2 linked regions of the Macaca fascicularis genome follow. The protein of the gene in region 1 binds, or shares a complex with, the protein of each later gene. Links are inferred from orthologs where the notes say so. Each region holds a gene or a part of one and is shown in the gene's direction. Other genes may lie near its edges.

What was found. Proteins that work in one complex are often made in the same cells at the same time.
Region 2: the proteins of SEC31A (region 1) and PDCD6 are in contact, whole or in part, in a crystal structure (PDB 3WXA), measured with the Homo sapiens proteins. The link is inferred for Macaca fascicularis from reciprocal best matches to the Homo sapiens genes SEC31A and PDCD6. Residues at the interface, in NP_001070675.1 of Homo sapiens: Asn837, Pro838, Pro839, Pro840, Pro841, Gly842, Phe843, Ile844, Met845; in NP_037364.1 of Homo sapiens: Val31, Val35, Leu48, Ala51, Leu52, Ser53, Asn54, Gly55, Thr56, Trp57, Phe85, Trp89, Ile92, Gln96, Phe99, Phe148.

What each region holds. Positions count from the first base shown.
Region 1 is NC_088379.1:50,982,502-50,987,550, forward strand, and holds part of SEC31A (protein transport protein Sec31A), read left to right. Parts: intron 1-530; coding exon 531-692; intron 693-888; coding exon 889-1,041; intron 1,042-3,175; coding exon 3,176-3,412; intron 3,413-4,366; coding exon 4,367-4,441; intron 4,442-5,049. UniProt on the Homo sapiens protein: Component of the coat protein complex II (COPII) which promotes the formation of transport vesicles from the endoplasmic reticulum (ER).
Region 2 is NC_088380.1:624,415-629,463, forward strand, and holds part of PDCD6 (programmed cell death protein 6), read left to right. Parts: intron 1-1,269; coding exon 1,270-1,379; intron 1,380-4,653; coding exon 4,654-4,752; 3' UTR 4,753-5,049. UniProt on the Homo sapiens protein: Calcium sensor that plays a key role in processes such as endoplasmic reticulum (ER)-Golgi vesicular transport, endosomal biogenesis or membrane repair.

The sequences.
Region 1 (5,049 bases):
GCCCCATTGTTACCCTAGGTTCTTCCGAGCGCACAAGCTTACCGCAAGGCTGACTGTAGACATACTCGGGAGTCTCTTGTCGACTTGTCCTCAATGACCACGCTCGAGCGTACCTTCACCTTAGAGAAAAGCACCCACGTTGGGCACCAGATGAAGGGGTGGCCTGGTGCTCCACACCTGTGGGCGTTTCTTGTGAGGTGGAATGAGAGACTTGAGAAAAGAAATGAGACAAAGTGACAAAGCATAGAGAAAGAAAAAGTGGGCCCAGGGGACCGGCACTCAGCATACAGAGGACCCACGCCGGCACCGGTCTCTGAGTTCCCTCAGTATTTATTGAGTCACTACAGCACATGTCTCTTGCAAGGACAAGGTTGGGAGTAGGGTCACAGATTAACAGCATCTCAAATACAGAACAAAATGGAGTCTCATGTCTACTTCTTTCTATATAGACACAGTAACAGTCTGATCTCTCTTTCTTTTCCCCACACCACCATTTTCTGAGTGTTGTTGTTTGTTTTTTGTTGGCCCAGGTGTTATATGAACTTCCCACCAACACACAGTGGTGCTTCGATATTCAGTGGTGTCCCCGAAATCCTGCTGTCTTATCAGCTGCTTCGTTTGATGGGCGTATCAGTGTTTATTCTATCATGGGAGGAAGCACAGACGGTTTAAGACAGAAACAAGTTGACAAGGTAATAGGAAGTGTTAAAGTTTTCTATTATAATGCCTGAAAAAAGTACATGTTGTGTAATATTTTGAAATGACTTCACTGATTAACATTGCTGGTTAATTGGACAATTGTGATCAAAAATTTTTTTGGATATGACTGGAAAAAAATGAAAGATAGTTTGTGTATGGTCAGATTCTCATGTTATTAATCTTTTTTAGCTTTCATCATCTTTTGGGAATCTTGATCCCTTCGGCACAGGACAGCCCCTTCCTCCATTACAAATTCCACAGCAGACTGCTCAGCATAGTATAGTGTTGCCTCTGAAGAAGCCGCCCAAGTGGATTCGAAGGCCTGTTGGTGCTTCTTTTTCAGTAGGTGGATTTTGTTTTTATGGTCCATAGTCACAAAGGACTTTTTATACCAAAGTGTTATTACAGGATCACTCTGATGGAAGAAGTCGGGGTTTAAGTTGGGATTTGAGATGTATTTGTGGGTATTGCATCATTCAAAATGATTTCTCTGAAAAACTGGAACCTACTCTTTTTTTTCCCTTTTTTAAAAACATGGTAAAATATACATAAAATTTATCATTTTATCCATTTTCAAATGTACAGTTCAATGGCATTAAGTACATTTACATTGTTGTTGTGTAGCCAACACTCTATGTTCCTCCCCCCACTTTTTTTTTTTTAAATATTTTTTTATTTTAGACAGAGTCTTGCTCTGTTGCCCAGGGTGGAGTGCACTAGCGCAATCTCGGCTCACTGCAACCTCCGCCTCCTGGGTTCAAGCAGTTCTCCTGCCTCAGCCTCCTGAGTAGCTGGAATTACAGGTGCACGCCACCACACCTGGCTAATTTTTGTATTTTTAGTAGAGATGCGGTTTTACCATGTTGACTGGGGCTGGTCTCGAACTCCTGACCTCAGGTGATCCACCTGCCTCGGCCTCCCAAAGTGCTGGGATTACAGGCATGAGTCACTGTACCAGGCCCTCCTCCCTTTTTTTTAAATGTGTCTTCCTTCTCTCTCTCTCTCTCTCTCTCTCTCTGTCTCTCTAGCTCTTTCCCTCGCTCCCTCCCTCCCTTCTTTTTTTCTTTTCTTTTCTCTTCTCTTCTCTTTTCTTTTCTTTTATTTTCACAGGGAGTGTCCTCCCTCCTCTTCATCCTTTTAGCTTTCTTTTTTAATTGTCAGCTTTTTTTATTGTAAAAAATACGTAATATAAAATTTACTATCTTAACCATTTTAAATATACACTACAACCATTTTTAAATATATACTACAGTAGTGTTAACTATATACATGTTGTTGTGCAACAGATCTCTAGAACTTTTTCATCTTGCAAAACTGAAACTCTGTGCCCTTGAACAGCAGCTCCCCATTTCCTCTTTCCCTTGAATCCCTGGTAACCACATTCTACTTTGTTGCTAGGAGTTTTACTACTTTAAATTACTCATATAAATGGAATCATGCAGTACTTGTCTTTTTGTGGCTGGCTTATTTTACTTAGCTTAATGTCCTCAAGGTTTATTTGTGTTGTAGCATGACAGAATTTACTTCTTTTTACAGGCCAAATAATATTGCATTGTATATATATACCACATTTTTTTTATCCTTTCATTTGATGGTCATTTTGGTTGCTTCCATCTTTTGGCTATTGTGAATAAATGCTGTGGTGAACATGGGTTTGTAATTATCGTTTTGGGATCCTGTTTTCAGTTTTTTGAGACATATACCCAGAAGTGGGATTGCTGGATCGTACGATGGTTCTATTTTTAAGTTTTTGAAGAACCTCTATACCGTTACCATTTTACATTCTCACTAATAGTGCACAAGGGTTCTAGTTTCTCCACATCCTCTCTAGCACTTTTTGTTTGTTTCTTTCTTCCTTTTACATTGCTGACACTTTGCCTAATTCTTTCACACCAGACTTCTAATAGCTTGATTGCATATTTGTTGCTTGTCTTTTTCCTCTCTAATCTTTACTACATATTCCAAGATTAATCTTCCTAAAATAGACCTTTGAATATGTTTTATGTCACTCATAAGTCTGTTCTTTGGATCTGCTTAATCTTCTCATCATCCTATCTGGTCTTCTGTATCTGGGTGGATCACTTGAGGTTTGGAGTTCAAGACCAGCCTGGCCAACATGGTGAAACCCTGTCTACTAAAAATACAAAAATTAGCCAGGCGTGTGGCTGGCACCTGTAATCCCAGCTACTCAGGAGGCTGAGGCAGGAGAATCACTTGAACCCAGGAGGCAGAGGTTGTAGTGAGCCAACATCCCGCCTTTGCACTCCAGCCTAGGTGACTAAGAGTGAAACTCTGTCTCAAAAAAAAAAAAAGTACATTTCATCTAGAACAGAAATTGAAGTGATGTCAGACTGTGGCGCATGAGAGGTGGTATCAACTAATTTCATCCAGATTATCTGTTTAGGCCACTTTATAAGCACTGTTTTTGGCCATATCCTCGGGTTAACACTGAGTTTGTTCATTCTCTCTTTTATAGTTTGGAGGCAAACTGGTTACATTTGAGAATGTTAGAATGCCTTCTCATCAGGGAGCTGAGCAGCAGCAGCAGCAGCACCATGTGTTCATTAGTCAGGTTGTAACAGAAAAGGAGTTCCTCAGCCGGTCAGACCAACTTCAGCAGGCTGTGCAGTCACAAGGATTTATCAATTATTGCCAAAAAAAAATTGATGCTTCTCAGACTGAATTTGAGAAAAATGTGTGGTCCTTTTTGAAGGTAAAGTTGCTATTTAAGGCTGTATTATTTCATTATCTGCAAATTTAACTGTTCCATTATATTCTAAATCTGTCTTCCTTTTAAAGAATTGAAAAAGTGTGATTTCAGCAATTCATCATGAAATTAAGAAGCCTTATAAAGAGCATACAACCTGTGTCCAGAGTTTTTCCTTCTCTACTTTGAAAAGTGTAATACGAAATACATTTTTAATAAGAAAACAAAAATAGATCTGTTTAGAGGAGAGAGACATAGTCAGCATACCTATTTTGAAGATTAGTACATAGAGTTTACTATAATGAAAACATAGAATATTTAATATCTATATTAGATCTAGTTAAGGAAAATGGAAAAAGGAAGAGGAATAGAGGAGAGAGGTTGGAGGCATTTTTCCTTTTACTTTAAGAGGAATTAGGATAGAGTAACAAATAGAATTTCCTTGTTGGTCATTTTGCCTGCACTGGAATGTCTATTTCTTTATACAGTACTGATTTTTCAAGTAAAGCAGTCTTGAATACGGTAGGGTAAAGTCTAAAATTAAATAATTTATATTTTGTAATAATTTTGGGAAAGAATTTTAGGACATAGAATATTCCACATAGTTTGAGTTTTGTATCAATTTAACCTTTGAACATAAGTTTGTATTTAAAAAACTTACTGTTCAAAAGTAAACTTTATTCAACCAGGATAATTAATTACTAGTATATTTACTATTAAAAAAATCACTTATTTTAAAAAAATGATTCTGGGCACATGTTCTCAGGACCTCCTGAGGCTAGGTCTCCAAACAAAAAAACCAAAAAACCCACTATTCTTTAGATTCGTTCTAACAATGAATCTTTAGAATGTAGACTTCAGATAATTTTAATAATTCTCTTTGGAATTTGATTCATTCTTATAAAAAGTTGGCCTTTAAATGTAGGTCTTTCTTTTAAGAATATGTCTTTTTTTTAAAAGGTGAACTTTGAGGATGATTCTCGTGGAAAATACCTTGAACTTCTAGGATACAGGAAAGAAGATCTAGGAAAGAAGGTAAACTTTCGGGAAAGTTAGATGGCATGCTGTTTATGAATCACACTTTAAAAAAATAAAGTTTGACACAGATTATCTTAAATCACCCAATAAACATTTAATACTAATTTGTGTTTGGTTGCCAGCATTTTTTCTTTTTTCTTTTTTTATTCTCCATTATTACCCACAGTGGTTGCCAGAGTTTTGAATACATACTTGTATTAGCCTTTCATCATTCTTTGGAAATGACAAGAGTTTTCTGTAACATTGCAGGTTGTTGCATGTGTGATAGAGGTATACCGTGCACTGTAAGTGCATATTGAAGTTTAGTGCTCTTTTGATGTCCAGCAGAACTAAGATCACATCACAACCCCACTCCTTAGTGGCTGTGTCTTTGCTCACTCCTTTAGAGTTTTATATTTAACTTTATTCGTAGTCTAAACTTCTTGAGGCTGTAACTTTTTTAGGCTTGTAAGAGATTAATATATGAAAGTTATACTTGCATGCCTGATGGCAGAAAATGAGGAAATAGAATGATTGTCAGATTATTTCTAATCACTTCCGTGTGAAAGAAGCTAGAACCGTGGAGAACCAGTTATAGCTTTTATTGTTTTTTTAAACATACTATT
Region 2 (5,049 bases), on another chromosome or scaffold:
TGATGACCTCTGTCCCCTGTGCATTCCCAGACAGGAGTGTCCCTGTGGCCGTGTCCCAGCAGGCCGGGCTGTCTGTCCTCAGCAGGCCGGGCTCACCCGCGGTACAGGTGCAGGGAGTGAGGAGGTGGGAATAGTAGGGACCAGAAGAAGTGGCAGCTGTTCACAACTCTGCCATCTCTTTCTGAATGTAACGGGAGGTCCTGTCTTCTCAGCTTGCAGGGAAGGAGGGTCCGAAGCAACTCCACTGTTGCACGTTTAGGGACCCCTGAAGTTAAATGGCAGAACGCCCTGACCACTCTGGAAGGCACTGTGTTCATGTGTGTGTGCTTGACTCTTTATCCGTGAAGGGGCTGTTTGTGCAGGCGATTAACTGTGAGATTCAGACAGTAGGTGCACACATCCCTGCAGAGATTCCAGCAGGGCTGAAAACCAGTAAAAACAGATCGGCACCTGGATCTTGCCTCCTGAGTCAGTAAGGCTGCCACAGTCACGAAGGCAGTGGGATTTCGAGGGAGGCAAGGGAGGGAGGCAGGCGGGGCGTGCTCTCCAAGGTGCCGAACACACCTGCTGCCTCCACACGTCTTCAGAGCCCTCTCCCTGTGGGAGGCCTTTTTCAGGACAGGCTCGGTGAACTGGAAACGAAATCCTAGCCCTTGGTGGCCCTGCAGTGACTTGGACCTTTCCGAGGTCACCCTGCCACTGTGCCCGTCAGTCCCTCATGGCGGGTGGGGCACATCCCCCAGACACTCCCATTTCTTGACATTGACACTTTGTATAACTGGAAACCTTCTGTGAAATTTTAGTTTTCAAAGCATTGTCTGGTGACAAGCAACCCAGGGCGGTGAATCATTCAGAATTTTCTTATCTAGGTTAATAAACATAATAAAATCAATAAGGACTTTGAAAGTAACTCCACTGGGTTCACGAACTGAGCGTGGCCGCCCTGTGGGGTGGTGGTTGGTGAGTGCTTCCCTGGGGTGAGTAGTTAATTCACGAGAGTGACCGATGGCAACGTCCCACTCGCTCCTCCTTCCAGGGTCCTGGTCTCGAGGGGTCGCTCCATGCACTGCAGATGTGAGCTCATTACACAGCGACGTATTCGGGAAGCGTCTCAGTTCTGAGTGCCTTTGAGTGAATTTGCACTTCCGTTCGCACCCAGCCTTGCATCGTGTGTGTTAGAGGCTGTGGGCCTTGGGAGGGAGGGGTGGGCGTTGGCACATACCTCCCGTCTCTCCCAGCCCTCTCTGACTCCAACTTTCACTCTTCAAGGCTACCGGCTCTCTGACCAGTTCCACGACATCCTCATTCGAAAGTTCGACAGGCAGGGACGGGGGCAGATCGCCTTCGACGACTTCATCCAGGGCTGCATCGTCCTGCAGGTGACGGAGTGGCTTTGCCTGGGTTTGCTGTGGTGGTGGGAGGGGTTCGCTTGCCAGCGTGATGCACCTGACCTTCAATCCAAGGAGTCAGGCGTATGTAGAATTAGTTTTTGGAGCTTGTAAGACTGAGTCTCATCTTTGGAGAAGTAGCTGGTTAGTGGAAGTGTAGACAAACATGTTTTCCTCCCCTTGGAAATGGCATAGAGCAGCCCATCTGGAAGACGCTGTTTTTGCAGTATCCGGTGGGTTAGTTACACGTATGTTCTGGTGTTCTGATTTTTTTTTTTTTTTTTTTTTTTTTTGAGACCGAGTCTCGCTCTGTCACCCAGGCTATGGCACGATCCCGGCTCACTCTCACCTCTGCCTCCCGGGTTCAAGCGATTCTCCTGCCTCAGCCTCCCCAGTAGCTGGGATTACAGGTGACACCCAGCTAATTTTTGTATTTTTAGTAGAGATGGGGTTTTGCCATGTTGGCCAGGCTGATCTCAAACTCCTGACCTCAAATAATCCGCCCGCCTTAGCCTCCCAAAGTGCTGGGATTACAGGCATGAGCCCCTGTGCCTGGCCAATGATAGTGTATTTTTGCAAAAACTTTTATTCTGAGAAAAGGGACACGTTTTCTGTTGTGGTCATCCCTGTGTCCTGCCGTCGTTGTGTGTGAGGTCAGCTGTGGAGCCTGTGGGCACTCGGGCTGCCCTCGGTGGGGTCTCCGCGCTCTTCCTGTGCACACCAGTGTCTGCAGGAGCTTGTAATGCACCCTGACCTGCAAGGCAAGCTCTTTGGTGACGTCTTTCCTGCTGTGCTCTCTCTGAGACGCACGGAGATGGAGAGCAGGGCTCAGGGGACCCGCCTGGGAGCTCCACACAGACCCCTGCTGCTGTGTGCAGGTGGAGATCCCGGTCTCCACCCAGATTCCTCAAGGTCCTGCCTTGGTGGCCGCGCAGTTCCGTGAGAGAGAGGAACAGCATGGGGTTTTTAGAAATAATGGGGAAATTCGGAAACGTTCCCAAATTGTTTATTCTATGTAACAATTAAAATGCTAGATCTGTAAAAGTGAGTTTCCTCTGGTTTATGGATCCATCAGTCCCTGCTCTTCAGGGATTTGTTGGAGAACCAGGTCTGTGAACATGGAAGCCTCAAAACTCGACAGTGGGGGAGCCTTTCCTGCCCTGCCTCTTGGGGTTCCTGCCACGTTGGATGATATTTTCACAATGTTCTCTGAACACTTTAAAAAAGTGTAGGCCGGGCCTGGTGTCACATGCCTGTAGTCCCAGCTACTCAGGAGGCTGAGGCAGGAGAATCACTTGAGCCTAAGAGGTGGAGGTTGCAGTGAGCCAAGATCACACCACTGCACTCCAGCCTGGGTGACAGAGCCAGACACTGTCTCACAAAAAAAGAGGGAAAAGATGCAGTGTAAAATCTCGTTATGTACCGTGACTGAATTGCTGTAGGATTCAGATCTTCATTTGAGACTATGTTCTGTAAGTTAACGTTGATCTTGTGTGAGCTTTCGGTAGCTGGAGTAACACTGGCGGCCTCACAGTGACCTCTCCAGCGCCTTCCAAGGCACATCCGCAGCAAGGGTAGCTCCTCCTGGGGGGTGCTGCCTCCCCAAGGCCCCGGCTCCAGACCGCGTGGGGAGGGCCTGACAGCCAGTTCCCGGGCTCTCCCCACCCTTGGAGAGTGACCCTAAACACTAGACAGATGGGGAATGGGAAAGAAAAGAAAGCTGCAGACCACAAGTTAAAATTCCCTCAAAAATGTTTTGATTCATCTGCTTTTTCCAAAAGGATAAAGGCTTTTTGAAAATTATTTTTTAACAAATAATATGAACACTTTTAGAAACTCTAGAAAAACACAAAGGATTCAAAATAGAAAGAAAAATTACGGCCGGGCGCCGTGGCTCAAGCCTGTAATCCCAGCACTTTGGGAGGCCGAGACAGGCGGATCATGAGGTCAGGAGATCGAGACCATCCTGGCTAATACGGTGAAACCCCGTCGCTACTAAAAAATACAAAAAACTAGCCGGGCGAAGTGGCGGGTGCCTGTAGTCCCAGCTACTCGGGAGGCTGAGGCAGGAGAATGGCGTGAACCCGAGAGGAGGAGCTTGCAGTGAGCTGAGATCCGGCCACTGCACTCCAGCCTGGGTGACAGAGCAAGACTCCGTCTCAAAAAAAAAAAGAAAAATTACCCATTATTCTTCAAGCCAGCATCATCCATTGCAGGTGTTTTTGGAGTTTGGTGAGGCCGTAGCTGCTGCCAAGTCCAGGGGCCTGGTGGTGCTGTGGCGTTCCTGCAGGGTGGTTTTTTTTCCTTTGAGATGGAGTCTTGCTCTGTCACCCCAGCTGGAATGTGGTGGTGTAAACACAGCCCACTGCAGCCTCGACCCCAAGTCTCAAGCGATCCTTCCGCCTTGGCCTCCTGAGTAGCTGGGATCACAGGCGAGAGTCACCACACCCTGTCCACGTTCTGATATGCGAGGACTGCTGTTTTCTTCCCTTGTCACATTTTCTTCTTCTTCTTCTTTCTTTTTCCTTCTCCTTCCTTTTTTTTTTTTTTTTTTTGAGAGACCCTTGCTGTCTGTCACCCAGGCCTGAGTGTGGTGGTGTGAACACGGCTCACTGCAGCCTCAACCCCCAGGCTCAAGCGATCCTCACGCCTTGGCCTCCCAGAGTGCTGGGATCACAGACGAGAGTCACCATGCTGGCCTGAATCTTCATGATAGTTTACGGCTGCCCCAAGTCCATCATCTAGAAGTGGCACTTACTTAACCATCCCTGTTAGGAGGGTGTAGGCGGTCACCCTGTCTCTGCTGCTGATCTGGCCTGGACCCTCGGCTGTCAGAGGGAGGGGTGGGCGGGGCTGAAGGAGCCTGAAGCCCTCGTGATGTCACAAGATCCCCCGCTGTGTCCTGAGCTCCACATAGCCCAGGTGGCCCCACAGCAGAGGCGAGCCACTGGAGGGTGGAGGGCCTCCACGGGACGGTCTTCAGGGGCGAAGGAAGGGCCCAGGCCCCCAGGAGACTCAGGAGACCAGGGCCTGGGATCAGGGGCTCAGCCAGGGCTGGACGTAGTGGAGCCAGCCCTGCAGCCCTGTGTTCTTCCCACTCCCACTGTCCATGTGAACAGCTCCAGCCCCACCTGTGCCTGCCTGTGCTGGGCTTCATCAGGAGATGACCTGTGTGCTTCTGAAATTGGGTTCCTAATGACTTTGTCCCAGTGCACCTTGCTCCTTCCGTTCACTATCGAGATTTAAATGTGTGTTTTCTCCCCAGAGGTTGACGGATATATTCAGACGTTACGACACGGATCAGGATGGCTGGATTCAGGTGTCGTACGAACAGTACCTGTCCATGGTCTTCAGTATCGTATGACCCTGGCCTCTCGTGAAGAGCAGCACAACATGGCAAGAGCCGAAACGCCAAAGTTCCTGCCTGTGAGGGAATGGAACCCAGATGCAGTTAGATGCTGTTCTTCCTTTAGATTTTACCGTGTGGGGACCCAGCTGTACATATGTGGATAAGGTGATTAATGTTTTCCAACTATAATAGTAGCTGCATCATTATAATGCAGACATTGGATTTGGTGACTGTCTCATTGTGCCATGAGGTAAATGTAATAATGTTTGAGGCATTCTGCTTGCAAAGAAATCTATCATGTGCTTTTCTAGA